Diceros bicornis minor: one gene and its partner. The protein of the gene in region 2 purifies or fractionates together with the protein of the main gene of each other region. This does not show direct contact. Links are inferred from orthologs where the notes say so. Each region holds a gene or a part of one and is shown on either strand. Other genes may lie near its edges.

The links. Proteins that work in one complex are often made in the same cells at the same time.
Region 1: the proteins of SCLT1 (region 2) and KIZ purify together in Homo sapiens (co-immunoprecipitation; 3 studies listed by BioGRID and IntAct, counting the BioPlex papers as one, with this or other methods). This does not show direct contact. The link is inferred for Diceros bicornis minor from reciprocal best matches to the Homo sapiens genes SCLT1 and KIZ.

Annotation. Positions count from the first base shown.
Region 1 is NC_080758.1:47,603,176-47,611,247, forward strand, and holds the start of KIZ (centrosomal protein kizuna), read left to right. Parts: upstream 1-5,049; 5' UTR 5,050-5,064; coding exon 5,065-5,153; intron 5,154-8,072. UniProt on the Homo sapiens protein: Centrosomal protein required for establishing a robust mitotic centrosome architecture that can endure the forces that converge on the centrosomes during spindle formation. Required for stabilizing the expanded pericentriolar material around the centriole.
Region 2 is NC_080750.1:21,310,094-21,317,985, forward strand, and holds the start of SCLT1 (sodium channel and clathrin linker 1), read right to left. Parts: upstream 3,097-7,892; 5' UTR 2,634-3,096; coding exon 2,600-2,633; intron 1-2,599. UniProt on the Homo sapiens protein: Adapter protein that links SCN10A to clathrin. Regulates SCN10A channel activity, possibly by promoting channel internalization.

The sequences.
Region 1 (8,072 bases), on a different chromosome or scaffold from region 2:
TTCCACATATGAGTGAAATCATATGGTATTTGTCTTTCTCCATCTGACTTATTTCATTTAGCATAATATCCTCAAGGTCCACCCATGTTGCAAATGGTAAGATTTCATCTTTTTTTTTGACTTAGTAGTATTCCATTGTCAGACATCAACTCTTAATCTCAGAGTTCCAGGTTTTCAGTCTCCTTCGCCATCTGGATAGTCACATAAATCCATTGAAAATGTTGTAGAAAGTTGTTTTGGTGCATTTGTGTAATTGTTGCATGGAATGTTTGTGTATTAGTCAGGATAAGTATGCCAGCTGCTGAAACAAACAACCTCAAAATATCAGTGGCTCAATATATTGAAGGTTTAGTTCTTGCCCAAGACACAGTTCTGTGCTCTATGCTTTGCAATCATCCACTCTTCTTCCAGGGCCTCAGAGTTCTCCATTGGATCCTCTGCATCTAGCTGGCCAACTAATGAAAAATAAGGAAGAGAGTGCAGGATGTTTGGAGGCCAGGCCTGGAAGTGGCTATATCACTTCTGCTCATACTTCATTGCCAGACTGGGTCATATAGACCCATCTAACCACTAGAAAGGATGAGAAACGTAGTCTTACTGAGTGCTAAGGAGGAAAATTAACAGAATGGTGAACACATAGTGTTATATCACAGCAGGTAAAAAATGCATTCTATGTCAATGAATATTATTCCTCAAATAATGAACCATGTATATGTGTAAACCCTTCTGGGTCACAAAATATATATTTTACACATCTCATACAAGGAAAATAAAAAATATCAGTAGCTGTCAAATGATGAGTTTCAAGGCCATATAGAATGGAGGATAAGAAAGGATAGACTTTGGATTTGGAAAAGATCTGTTTGAATTCTAGCTCTACCACTAGCTGGTCAAGAACATACTGGCAGCATGATCTTAGGCCAGGTGCCCTCAAAGGACTGTTATTGGGTTTAAATAAGGCAATAAATGCTTATACTGGTGTAAATGCTCAATGGGTGGAGGGGTTCCACATACATATTCATGTGGCATCACAGCCTTTCTCCCTACTTTCTACTTTTGAGTCATCTCTACTTAAAAGTGAATTTTCTAATAGCATAGGATGCAATGTCAAATATTTCTGAATAGTGATTGCAAAATGAAATACTTTCCATGTTCATGTCTGTTACAGGTTGAATTGTGTACCCCCTAAATTCGTATGTTGAAGTCCTAATTCCCAGCACTCCAGAATGTGACCTTATTTGGAAATAGGGTCATTGTGATATAATTAATTAAGATAAGGTCATACTAGAGGAAGGTGGGCCCCTAATCCAATATAACTAGTTTCCTTATAAAAGGGGAAATTTGGAGACACACATGCACACAGGGAGAATGCCATGTGAAAATGACTTCAGAGATCGGGGTGATGCACCTCAAGCCAAGGAATGCCAAAGATTGCTGGCAAACTTCCAGAAGCTAAGCGAGAGGCACGGAGCAGAGTCTTCCTCAGAAGGAACCAACCCTGCCCACACCTTGATCTCAGACTTCTGGCCTCCAGAACTGTGACACAATAAATTTTTGTTGTTTAAGCCATCCAGTTTGTGGTACTTTATTATGGCAGCCCTAGCAAACTACATAATATAATATCCAAGCAGTTATTGACTCAAATATACAGGATTTAATTTTAAAATTGTGTGGTGTTTACATTTTAAAATGTAAAATTCTAATTTCAACATATTTCCAAAACCAATCTTCCATTCATTGATCCAACTGTTTCTGAGCTACAAAAACGGCAATTTCATATGGTTCACCCAAAGAGCCATATGTCTACTGAGATGAAACACTGGCTTTCTTTACTCTTTGCCTAATGGGGCCATTAGGGACCCATCTTTGGAACTAGACTCATTAACATTACACAGATAATCAGCTGTGACCCGGGCCAAGTCCCTTACCTGCCCTGAACCTTTTTCTCCTCTAAAAAAACAAGGGGGTGAAGCTAGATTCCCTCTAACTCGCAGCTAAGACATTCTGTAGCTTATAAGAAGACTTGTCCATCTAGGCAGACTTCATGGCCTGTGGTCCAGGAAGTACAATCAGAGCTGTTTACAGAAATCAGCTCTGCTAATATAAAGGGATTTAAGAACAATATTAAAAGGGAGTGCTCCAGCAAATTAAATATTCAAAGTGAAAAACTCTGCATTTAATAAAAGTCTGTCACCATTTAGAATGCATAATTTTAGCATAAATACTCTAGAAATATTCATTTAGTTTGCTATGTGTTATTGTTAATAAAGAGGGTCCTGCATTTGGATTTGTCATATGTCATTAATAAATCAACCATAGAATGCAAATTTTAATTATTTTGAATTATCTATTTACTGTTTAATTATATTTAATTTTAGACTCTCCTAAAATGGCCTAATAAAAATTTGGGATGCTAAACGATGCCTCACCTGGTTACTCTATGTATTTACTGAAAATAATTAGTTACATTAATTGTTTGGGGGATTTTTTTCCCTTAGAAAACTAATCTGGGTGAGGGGAGACCTAAATAAAATATGCTAAAAAGATGCATTTTTTTTTTTTTTTGCCAGGGTTGTAGTACAATGTTGTTTGCACTAAAATCACTAAAGTAAACCTTTGTACACTATGTGGAAATTAATAAACATAAACCTGACTAAAATGGAGTCAGGTGGCCAAAAGGGGGAGCTCTGACACCCTATGAAGATAGCAGAGCCCAATAGGAAGAAGAAAGACTTCCTCTTCTTGCCAGCAACAGCTCAGCCAATGATAGACTACCACAACTCAGCCAATGAAAAGCCACTACACTTTAAACTCCCAGTCTCCTCCTCTTTGGAGGACTCTTTGTTTACATTAGCCCTCCCAACTTCCTCTTCCCCTCTATAAGAGTTTCTCCTCCCTTTTCTGCAGGACTTGCAGGTGGCTTGACATGGTTGTAGACCTTAGATTGCAATTCTTTGCTGATCCCAAATAAACCTCTTTGTGCTGGAGAAATAACTGGCTGTTTAAGGTCCACAACTACCATGGAATCAATTTGGTATAATGATTTGATATAACTAAATAAAAGTAACATCAGGATTACCCTTAGACCTAGGCAAGAGGGCCCCTACCCTGGCTTCTGTATATTACAAAGCCTGTTCTGGCCCTTTTCTGGCCATGCCATTCTATGCAAGGCAAGGAGGCCCAGGGCCAGGGGACATGCCTGCCTAGAGTGCGCTCTCTCTCTCTCTCTCTCTCTCACACACACACACACACACACACACACACACACACACACCCCATTCTGCAACACATTCCAGGTACCTATCACCCTGACAATCCCTGCTCAAAGGGCCCTAACCTCCTTTCTGAGGCCCTTAAAGACCTCTTTCCTGGACCCTTCCTGCAAGGGTGACTATCACTTCCTGCAAGGTGCTCGCCCTTAGGCCTGAGGAGTGGCCAAGAGGAGGCTGAGGTGAGGATGAGGACAGAGCTAGGACTTGTAGACTGGGGTGGCGGCGTAGGGGAGACACACACATCCCTGCCAGTGTGTGCAGCCCCTCACAGTGCAAGACTGGGCCCGGGGCGGGAAATAAAGGAGTTGGCTGGGGAAGGAGTCAGAGAACTAAATTTCCCTCTGGCTTTCCAGGTTCTTATGAAGGCACATTGGCCAAGGTAGGAGGAGAGAACATATTTTATCTACAAATTGTCATCTTGATTTATAATTGTTTAATATTTTGACAGATGGTATGAGGGCGTCCATTCACACTCTTGCCCTGGCCCTGGCAAATGTGAAGGGAAGGCTAAGTAACATTATAATTTTATATTATCGACCTTTGAGTAGTCCATCTCTCTTGCTAATGATTGATTTACTAGTTTAAGTCACACCTTGCAAGTAAGTGAAATTAATGACTGAGAAAAGAAACCAAAAGAAATGAAGAATAAGAGACTAAAGAAACTATAATTTCTTTTTTTCTGCCCTGCAGGTTTTGGAGTATGGTTGGCTTTCTTCAGGAAGCTTTTCCCCCAAGTTGGTGATGATGTTGATAAAAACTGATGCTTCCTATGTGCTGGGCCCTCTTCTAAACACTTACACACGTTAACAGATCTAATCTTTATAGCAATGGCATAGCTAGGCCCTGCAGTAACAATCTTCCTGGTTTTACAAATAAAGAACCCTGGGCTTCAGGAGGGTGACCTGCACTTGGTCACACAGTTGGGCAGTGGAAGAGGGGATTTGAGTCTAGGCAGCCTGGCTCAAGTCCCTGCTACAGGATTCTATATCTGCACAAACAAATGTCTGCTTTGCAAGCAACTTGTTAGCAACTTTCCTCTCCTCACCAACTAGTAATGTGACCTACAGCATTAACCACATCCTTATGGTCAGCACGGATTTACAGGTAAGGGATTGTTCTGCTGTCAGGGCTGAACACAGTTGCTTACAATTTTGTCCTTTTTTGTGGTGTTTTCTTTTGCTTTTAAGTGCTGGTAGGAAACCAAGCTTAGCACAGTGCGTGGCACTCAGCATATCCTGGGGAGAAGAGAGGGAGAGGTGGCGGGAGGGAAAGAGAATGCATCTTGCAAAATTAATGTAGTTTCATGCCAGGACAAAAAATGATCACGTGACTTGCTCCCAGCCACGCTCCATCCTTTACCCATGGTGGGGATCAGGAGTGGTCTTCTGACTGACCCTCAGAGAACGGCTCCGCCTGGAGGAGGACCAGGGTCTGTCCCGTGAGAGTTCTGAACGGTTAGGGAGAAGGAAGACGCCAGTCTCCGGCAGAGAGCCCTGGGCACCCAACCCCCAAGGACCCCTGCCCATCCCGCAGCGTGCAGCCTGGGCCGGCTCCCCCCAAGGCGGCCGTCAACCTCTCCCACGACACCCCGCCTCCGCCCCGCCCCTCCACGGGCCCCGCCCCTCCACGGCCGTCTACCCCGCCCATTCACGGCGCCCCGCCCCGCCCCCTGCACAGCGTCGGGGCGCCATGTTCACCCGCGGTGCATGGTGGGGCCGTCGCCCCCGACAACCCGCCCCTCCCCTCCGCGCGCTGGCCCGAAGCGGCGCGGGGCGAGCGTGGCGGCGGCGGCATGCCCCAGGCACCCGCACGGTCCGCGCCCCTGGCGAGCCCCGACTACTATGAGAGGCTGGGCCGCCTCCAGCGCGGGCTGCGGGACAGGTACGGCCTACCCGAGGCGGGGGCGGGAATCGGCCGGCGCCGAGGGTCGGCTGGTGCCCTGCCCTCTGTCCTTCCCACTCGCCCCGCCCGTGGGTCCCCTGGGCCTGGGTCCGCCCGCGACGGCCCCCAAGCTCCCACTGGGGCCTGGAGGACAGAGTTTACCGGAGAGACCCCCGCGTTGGAGATCTCCCGCTGGAGGACGCGGCCGCGTCACTGAATTTGCCCGGAAGTGGGAGTAGGAGTTCTCCTGCCTGTCACTCTCAGTCAAGCCTCGTGAATTTCTCTAGTTCCTTTCTACACGCCCCCTCCGCAGTCTCTTCAAATTGTCATCCCACCCTGACAGCTGCACTGCATCAGTGGTGACAGGTCCAGGAACGCAGGCAGGAGAGTGTGTGTGTGTTTGTCAAACATATGCCCTATTTAAATGCGGGAGACTTTTTGAGGGCCATAGTTCCAACGAAGGGATGAAATTTGCAGACAGAGAAGTCCAGCTTCTGGAGTATTCATGATACCTTGATTAAGACGTGGAAGATGAGAACCGCTGAAGACAGCTAGATCTAAGAGCACATAAAGAAAGAAAATTATAAAGCACTTTGCTATAAATAACCACATAAAAGATAAGTTGTTGGAACTATTATTTAGCTGCTAAATTAATTGGTGTTGGAAATCTCATTAGTTGACAAGAAAGGAAATAGATGTTTGGATCTCTTGATAAACAAAAGGTTTAATGAGTGTTAAAGTTGCAAAATCATTTTAGTGAAGAGAGCTGTGTGTGTGTAACAATGCTAAAATGACAACAATAGTTACGTGTAAGGTAAAGGCAGAAGTAAGTGGTTTTGAAAAGGAATTATATTGGTTTTATGCTACATTTAATTTTTGTCAAATATTTATGGAGCGTCTACAACAGTCCTCCTGAATTGTCCTCACCGTATTTTACTCTTTAATCTTTTTCTACATCCTATTTTCTTTCTGACATACCGCCGCTCACCCACCCCAGGAACCTCCTCAACTCCAGCTTTTGAAAAATTGCTTCCTTCAGTGCCTTCCCTGCACCAAGTATTGATCAGCCTGTTCCCTAACTTATGCAACCTCGGCATTCTTAAAGGACTCTAGATAGTGGCTTGAGTGACTTGCTCCCTGCCTAGATGGAGAATTCTAGGAGCTCAGAAACCATATCTAGCTGAAGCTTTAGCTGATAATAGAGTACCTTAGGTGGAGGAGGGACTTGATATATGTTTGTTCAAGGAATGGAAGAAATCCCACGTCAACCAGCTAACGTCCAAGAGGTGTAAATGTCTTGTATAGAACACTAGCCACACATTGCCACTAAATAATGACCATGTTCCAGTCAACCAGGAAGAGTGGACAGTGTGATATTTCAAAGATGATATTGTGTCTGCGTATACTTGATAATTAAAAGACAAGACATTGCTCTGTGCATCAGTACACTTAAAGTGCTTTTTTTTTAAAGAAAAAAACCCAGTTTCTTTAATGTTGTTTGTTATGTTGTGTTTAAAATGAAACCATTGGGGCCAGCCCCATGGCTTAGCGGTTAAGTGCGTGCCCTCTGCTACTGGCGGCCCGGGTTCGGATTCCGGGGGGGGGGTGCACCGACACACCACTTCTCTGGCTGTGCTGAGGCCACGTCCCACATACAGCAACTAGAAGGATGCGCAGCTATGACATACAACTATCTACTGGGGCTTTGGGGAGAAAAAAAAAAGGAGGAGGATTGGCAATAGATGTTAGCTCAGAGCCAGTCTTCCTCAGCAAAAAGAGGAGGATTAGCATAGATGTTAGCTCAGGGCTGATCTTCCTCACACACACACAAAAAAGCCATTATATAAGATTAAATACATTAAAAGAAATCACCAAGGGGAAGAACAATAAGAGTAATAAAATAATTTTGTGTGTGTGTGTGTGTGAAGATCAGCCCTGAGCTAACATCTGCCAATCCTCCTCTTTTTGCTGAGGAAGACTGGCCCTGGGCTAACATCCGTGCCCATCTTCCTCCACTTTATATGGGACGCCGCCACAGCATGGCTTGACAAGCAGTGCGTCGGTGCGCGTCCGGGATCCGAACCCATGAACCCCGGGCCGCCGCAGCGGGGCGCGCACATTTAACTGCTTGCGCCACCAGGCCGGCCCCTAAAATAAATTTTAAAATTTCAATTCTGCTCCAAGGTTCCTTAACCATTTTGAAAAACTAAAGTTTGGTTTATAGATTCAAACCAATTTAAGCTATTGTCCCATCCCCAAAGTGAAATCTTATACTGAAGTCCAGCTCCAAGTTAAAAAGCAAACAAACAAATAATAAAACAAATTCACCTCTGGGTGTGGGTGTAATTTTTTTTCTTTACATTTTACTAATTTATTTTTATTGAGGTCACGTTGGTTTGTAACATTATATAAATTTCAGGTGTACATCATTATATTTCGACTTCTGTATAGAGTCCATCGTGTTCACCACCCAAAGTCTAGTTTCCATCCGTCACTGTACACATGTCCTGCTTTACCCCTTTCACCCTCCCCACACTCGTCTTCCGCTCTGGTAACCACCAATCTGTTCTCTGTACTGTGTGTGTTCGTTTTTTGAGTTTTTTTTTTTTTTTTTTTTAACTGCTTTTTGACTCTGTTCTGTTAGAATAGTAGCTTAGTTACCCCAGGCCTTTAGTTATTTGTATCTCTTAGCCCAAGTTCTAAATTTTAAAATGTCGCTGGTTCAAATGGCATTCTTTTTGAACTAAGTTAATTGTAAGTTATCATTTTTGCTTCCTGTGCTAGGAACACCTGGCTGTTTATAGTCCTTATGGTATAATAACTGTGTAATGATTATTACTTAATGTTTAACACTTAATGCTTTAACTATTAAGCAAGGTGAGGCTGTTGAAATTATATAAGGAATTTGAGTCAAATTTT
Region 2 (7,892 bases):
GGCATCCGTATGCAAAAAAGTGAAATTTGCCCCTTATCTTGCACATTATACAAAATTTAACTCAAAATCGATCATAGATCTAAATGTAAAATCTAAAACTACAAAACTTCTTGAATAAAATCTTTGCAGCCTTGGGTTAGACAAAGATTTCTTAGATATGACACATCCATAAAAGAAAAAACTGATAAATTGAACATCACCAAATTTACAAACTCCTGCTCTGTGACAGACACTGTCAAGAAAATGAAAAGAAAAAATGAGTCTATCCGCACCACCCATAACCCTCCCTACAAGAATGAATTCTTCACTCCTTAGCTTAATTATAGGAGTCCCTCTTTGAACAGGTCCCTAAGGACTATCAGATTTCCCTTCTCAGATGGAGGTGGTAGAATGGCGTACTGCAAAAATGCTAGAAGTTTACTAGAAGTCTGGTTGGGTGTGGAATTGCCTGTGGTTATGATGCGCAAAGCTGATGCTTTATCAGAAGGGTTGCCAGTTGAGAAGCACCAAATCAAATTGTCTGGAGCTCGGCTACCAAATCCAAATGGAACAAATGAAAAGAGGCAATCAAGATCAACGGAAGTCAAAGTAGAGAAGGTCAAAGGTAGGTGAGAGAAGGGCAAGCCATCTATATTTACCTGAGCTGGTGTTTAGGTGGTTCACCTAATGAGGTAACCGACCAGCTGTTACCGGCATGCTAGGTCCAGTTAAAGGAAAAAAGGGGAGGGTCACAGACATCCAACACTCATTCTCATCTCTTCATGCAAACCCTACATTCCATGCTCCAATATCCTGAATAAGCACTGTCATTTCAAGCCTCTGAGCCTTCGCTGCTTCTGCTCCCTCTGTCTGAGATTCCCTTCTCTCTCTCCACTTGTCTTCCAATTAACTACCACTCATTTTTCAAGAAATAATTTACTATGTTTCTATTGTTCCAACACTCTGATTTGGACTTCAATTTTATCTAAGAATTCTGGCTGGCTTATTTCTCTCTAAAACTCATCATTTCTGACGGCCTCAGGTACTCTTCCCACCCCAACCATATCCCTCATCACCCAACTCTTGAGCCACACCACTCAGACTGCAGTCAGCTAATCCTCCTTATGGGGTGGGGGATATTCCCACTTCAAACCTGAGAAATAATGCTAACGTTAATGCTATCATTAACGATTTTGGATAACATATAGTGTGCACTTAATATGGTCTAGACACCATGCTAAATGCTTTATTTGCATCATCTCATTTAATCCTCACAACAACTCTAAGAGGGTTATTGTGTTATTCTACCCATTTTACAAAGGAGAAAACTGAGGCACAGAGAAGCTAAGTAACTTGCCCAAGGTCAAACACTTGGAAAGAGATAGGGCTAGGATATGAGCCCAGACAGACTGAATCCAGAGGTTGACTTCTTAACCACTGATCTATAATGTTTCCAAAATGGAACTTACCACTTTTTTCCTAACTTTCCTGTTGCTCAAGCCAAAAACTGAAGTTGCCCTCTACCTTTCATTCAGATCCCCTAATCTCCAATCTCATTATACCTACCTTAGTTCACTTTTTACCAGGATGATAACAATAGTCATCTAACTGCACTCTGCTGTAATGCACATTCCTCCTAACAGCCATACCGGACTTTCCAAATCACAATTTGATCATGTCACTCAACTGAATTCCTTCCAGTGGTTCCTATAATCTGTGCAATGGTCCAAACTCCTTAACCACATAGCAGACAAGGCCCCTCATCATCTAGTCCTGTTCTTCCCTTTCAGCTACACCTGCCATTTGCCTACATAAATAAACCATATTCCACTCAAGCCAACCTTCCTGCAAGTCTTGAACAAAGCATATTCCTAATCCTCTCAATGCTACAAATACTATTCTATTTGGGATGCCTACAAAGTTCTTTATCTAGTAAATTTATATTAGTACTTCAAGTTTCAGCCCAAACAGCACCTTCCTTGACCATAGTTAATAATAATCTTGTAACAGGTAATACTTGTTTAGCACTATACGTCAGAAACTATTCTAAATCCTTTACATATTTTAATACTCATTTAATCATTCCGACAACCCTATGAGGAAACCGAGGCAAAAGAGTCAGCAGTTGCTGCTACTTCAGTGATTTATGGAATTTATGTTTCCCTCCTCAAATTAAATTCTTGGAGAGTAGAACCATCCTCTTCATCTTTGTAGTAGCTATGTTTGTTTAGCCCCTGGCACATAACAGAAACAGGAGGCGCTCAATAAACATCTTTTGAACAAATGGCCAGAGCTGTGTTCTAACTGCAGGCTTGGAAACTCTTCCTTGCCATTAGTCCTCTAATTTATCCAGAGCACGCGAGGAGCATAACAAACATATTTAGTGTCTAGCAGAGTCCCATGTAACACGCTTAAGGAACCTACAAGTACTTACAAACAGCTCTGGTTAAAGTATATACACATCCTCATATATGCCACCAAGCTTTTTCTGCAGCTAACTTCTTTAAGTTTTTACAAATTTCCATGCAACCAACAGGCATTCAAAAAATATTAGTTGATCAACGATGACGACACTAAACATCACATATAAAAATTCTCGATAAAGAAATAAGGAGCTTACTTTGATCTCTCAGAAAGTCGATTTCTGTGGCCATTTCGATACAATTTTAGTTTGGAGCTTTCACCACCTTTACTTTCTTCAAAAAGACACAGAGCTTGCTGTGCGGGAAAACAAAACTAACGCAACGCTCCGGAGGTTGTCAAGCACTCGAACGGTGTAATCGGCATCCCACTCACGCCGCGTCAACAGCTCCGCCGCGCCTCCTTCTCCCGAGTCCCAGCCGACTCCCTCGCTCAGGCAAGAGACTTCAGATTTCAGGTTTGCTGGGGACCTGCCAAGTGAATTCTGATCCACGATCACCCAAATCCCAGTCGGGTGGGACGGGGACGCGAGTGGATACAGGCGTCCCGCGGGTCACTCGGGGTCGTGTCGGGCCACTTAGGAGAGCGCAGAGGAAGCCGGCGGGCAGCCTGGTGGCGGCGTCCTTCACGGAGCTGGGGGCGACTCCACGACAGCCGGGAAGCCCGGGGCCAAGAGCGGAAGTCCACTCGGCCCGCCCTGCGACTTTGAAACCGGTGCCCTGGACCGCTCCTTGGAGACGGTGACGCCGCCTGCGTCATCACGCTGGCGTCAGCGCTTACGTCATCGCGCTTCCTAGAGTCCTCGCACGCCATTGGCTATCTGTCAAGCGATGGGCGGAGCTGTGCGAGCCTGGATGACAGCGGTCTGAGCCGCCAGAGTGGCGGCGGACATGGTGGCAGCCATGCGCCTTTTTTTTTTTTAAAGAAACCCGAAAAATCTAAACGTAGGTAGGGATTAAATACATGTTTTAAATGCCCCCAGTATCTTTGATACCTAGCACTCCTGGACTGAGAGACCCCCCTGGTAGGTGAAAAGGATGTAAGGTTTGTGTGGCTAGGGGCAGAACCCAGACTGGCGTCTTCAGAATCCACCACCAAGGCTGTCCTGGAGGATTTCTGAGTGTGGATTTGGTAATCTCCAGAAGCTAAGTACGGTCCTGCCCCTCGTGGGTCTTTCGAGAAGGGAGACAGTTGTTGTTTAAATATTTGACTGTGTGGCAATAAGTCATGTGAGTAGAAGTACTCCAAAGATCCTGCAAATTCAGCAGGTATTTCTTTAAAGATAACTTTGCTTCCTCAAAAAGAAGGAAAAACAAAAGCTATATTTTTTGCAAGAAAAAATTAGGCAAAACTTTACATTTATGGATGGATAACAATTCCCATTTTAAAAAATTGATTTTGTCTGGATTTAAATCTTATTTTTTTTTAAAAACAGTTAACATTGGAGGAAATTTCAGTGCTAGCAATAAAAATGTTAACTTGAAGCTAGCCACTTGTTTTAGTGTTTTTAAATAGATTATATGTTTTTATGGATTGAAGTAGTTTCACTAAACAGACATGTCACAGATATAGCTTGATTTGGCTTTCTCTTTATGTTTAAGTTTTGTTGTCCTGTACTCATAATGTTATATAAATGAAGTAATGTTAGCAGAATGTATTAAGAAATTTTAGAAATGGGTCCAACTCTGTCCAGTTAGGTATTTAAAGTTCTGTTACGGGCTTTCTCCATACTCACTATTAAGAATGAGATGGTCTCTTCCTCCAAAGACTGGCTGTTAAATATGGAGGTATATCTAATAACCATAAAAAAATTTAATTTAGCTTTGAGTCAGTGATGATTGAACTTGATCTTGTTTTTAGTGACCATGAAGTTAACACAAAAACTTGTTGGAAGGAAAAATTGAATGTGCAAGCTCCAACTATTTTTACAAGGTCAGTGTATGACTTTTTCTTCAAGAACTTCTCACTGAGTCCCCAGGGACTTGCTGGTACCTTCTTCTATGTTTGAACCTTGTATATTGTCATATTGTGATTTAACTTGGCATCAAACAAGTACTTATAAACGTTAACTCTACATTTACACTAAAAGTTGATAGGATATATTGGTGTTGGCAAAAGCACAAATTACCTTCTGGATATAAATGATGAGTGGTCTTTGCATTGTATAAATTAAATATCTCAAATTGGAATTTTTATCTCTGTACTTGAATTATTTGGCTTATATGGTCAAGTTCAATATAAACTATAGTTTTGGGGATTGGGTTTTTTTTTTTTTTTGGTTACAAGATTTTACTCGTTGAATTTTTGAATTTCAATGGAGTATTTTCAAAATAATTTTCATCTTTAAGAAACAAAATTTTTATGATTCCACTTAAAGTATCCCCTCTAGTGTTTCTCGATTTTAAAGCTTCCCTTGTATTCTCTACCCACTCCCCCAAGGTAGGTACTTCCTTAGTACTTCATGCTTCTTCCTGCAGTCTCTATCATGTGGTTTTTGTAGTTTGTCTCCAGGCTCCATCGTAGTACCTGGAACCCAATAAGGACTCAATAAATATCTGATGAAGGAATTAATTTAATTAATTTAAGTTAAATGTATTTAAAGAATTCAGTGAATGTGCATGGAAGGTATCTATTAGTGTAATTGAGTATAAGGAATGAGAAGTGAGAGAAAAAAGTCTTAGTCTGTGTTTAACCGTTTTCTAGCCACTATTTCATATTTTTATATTAGATATATTTCTACAGTAAAGATAACCCTTGAAAATTGATAGATTTCACTAAAATGAATGTCTTCAATAAATTGACCTTGAGCCCCCAGTACTATGTGGAAAGGATCATGAAGAATACAAAGTTGGAAATTTAAGGTAGGGTCAAAACTGTACTTAACATTTTCTGATATAATTAAATGCCATAAAAAAAGTGATTTTTAAAAACTCTTAATAATTGTGTTTATTTTACCAGTCAAGAGAAGCATGGCCTAGAAACTGGAGCTCTATTTTTAAGCTTGTCTTTTTTTATTATTATAGTTTTTTTGTGTGTGAGGAAGATCAGCCCTGCGATAACATCCATGCCAATCCTTCTCTTTTTGCCGAGGAAGACTGGCCGTGGGCTAACATCCGTGCCCATCTTCCTCCATTTTATGTGGGATGCTGCCACGGCATGGCCTGACAAGCAGTGCGTAGGTGCGTCCCCGGAATCCGAACCCCCTCTGCCAGCCGAGGAGCTCACGCGCACTTAACCGCTATGTCACGGGGCCGGCCCCCTGTTATAATTTTTATAGTGAAAAAAACACATATGTAATCTACTGTCTTAAATTTTTAAGCGTACAAGACAGTATTGTTAATTATATGCACATTGTTGTACAGCAGGTCTCTAGAACTCTTTCATCTTGCATGACTGAAACTCTATACCTATTGAACAACAACTCCCCATTTCCCTCTCTCACCAAAAGTGATTTTTATAAACCAAAAATAATCATTTTGGTAAAACAAACACAAAAGCTGTTTTTCCCGCAAGGAAGTTTCTAAAAGTATGTTGTAAGCAGAATATATTTAGGCTGAACCATGTGAAATTGCCAATTTTCTGCAACTTAATGTGGTTTCACTTAATACTTTACCTGAAAATATTTGAATAATGGCAACACACCAATGTAATATCTGCTCTTGCATATTGGAAGAAAATGGTGGTAACTTAAAGATGTAGAATGTGCACACTATTCTCAAAGTAGCTACGAAGTTCAGGTGCAGTGACTCCTTGCTGAATTAAATGCACAGATCCTATAGAAGTTTTGGTAACTCCCAGCAACCAAAATACAGTGTGATTCTATTATTTGGAAATATTGTAGTTCTGTAAATTATTACCTTTTCTTGAGAAGTTCAAAACTTTACACATGATTATGTTATGAATTTATATCTAATCTTATGTAGAAATGATTAGTCCACACTGTCGGGTGAAAGAGATACTAAATGAAGGAAAATAGGTTGATAAATGCTGGAACTGCCAGGCTAGTTAAGACCGAACCAACCAGAACCATGTTGTATATCTCGAGAACACTTAACCAAACTTTGTGATCTCAAGGGGTCAGTTAGACTATCCTGTCTCATAGTCTAGTTTTGTATAAGAAAACAGCTTTGGAAACATGTAATTATAACAATTTAAACAGAATTTTTTTTTTAGGCAAACCTATATACTTTAATAATGAGCTAATCTTTTTTGAGTACTTACTATGTGCCAGGCACTGTTCTAAATGCGATATATATATATGTATATTCATTTAACCCTCACGAAAACCTTTTAAGGTAGGTGATATTTTAAAATCCTTTTTACAGTAACTGGCTGATGATCACAGTTGGAAAGTGCCTGAATTGGGATTTGAATCCAGGCACTCTGGTCCCAGCATCACAGTCGTTAACCGCCTCCCAGTAGTGTAATATAATTTACAGCTAGGGTAATATAATTTACAGCTAGTATAATATAATTTACACTTTTTGCTTATATAGCCAGTTAGCCTTTCATTGCATTAAGTGAATTATTGCTGTACATGTTCTATTGTAGTCTTAAGGATCTACAGTTAATTTTCAAATTGTTGCACAGTATTTATATTGCTGAGTTACCCTTCATTCTCCTCCTAGAAAAACTTCAGTGGAGTGATTAAAAGTCTTCAGATGTTCATCGGTGGTCCTTCAACATTTTTCTTTCCAGGAAAAGTCAGGTGTCTCTGCAGCAGTCTAAATCCCTCCGCCAGAACCTGTGGGCAGCTGGGCGGAGCCTAAGGCTGAGCCCGCTCCAGTGACCTCGGCAGAAAGGAGCCAGCAACTGCTGTACTGAGAAGACCTTGCCGGTCTGTGTTCTCTTCTTGTTACGCTTTCTCCACTCTCTCATTCCTTGTACCTTCGGCCAGGCTTGTCGTTTGGTTTTTCTCTGGTAACTTACTTTTCAGCTGCCTCCTGCTGCTGCACAGCTATTCTCACTTTCGGGCTGAGTTCCTCATTTCTCCGTTTCTCTTATAAATGGGTGGAAGTGGGGGTGGGGAAAGGATGCAAACTGAAAAGAAATAATTCTTGTAGAGAAACTAAAGAAAATTTCATGAATACAGGAATTTGGACACTTTCATTGCAAAACATTCTGTTGAAAAAACACCTCTTCTGTAACTTACTTCTTTTAACCTTTGTGCAATTTTTTTCCTTTGGGAGGCTCTTAATGCTCCCGGGTTCTGTCTCCTTTTTCTTCCTTCATTTCCTTTTAAAGGTCTTTCCATTGTGCAGGTACAAAAAAATTATTTTTTGACTTTTTTTGATGAAAGAGTAATGTGAAGAATAGAGGTTAAAATGTGAAAAAATACAGGTGAACAATAAACATTTTTTTAAGAAAGTATAAAGAGGCAACATTAAAATTCGATGATAGAATAGTGATCACTTGAATGAATATATTCCTTCAACAATATTCCTGATATTCATTCTGACTTTTTAGAAGCACACCATATATAATATAAAGGA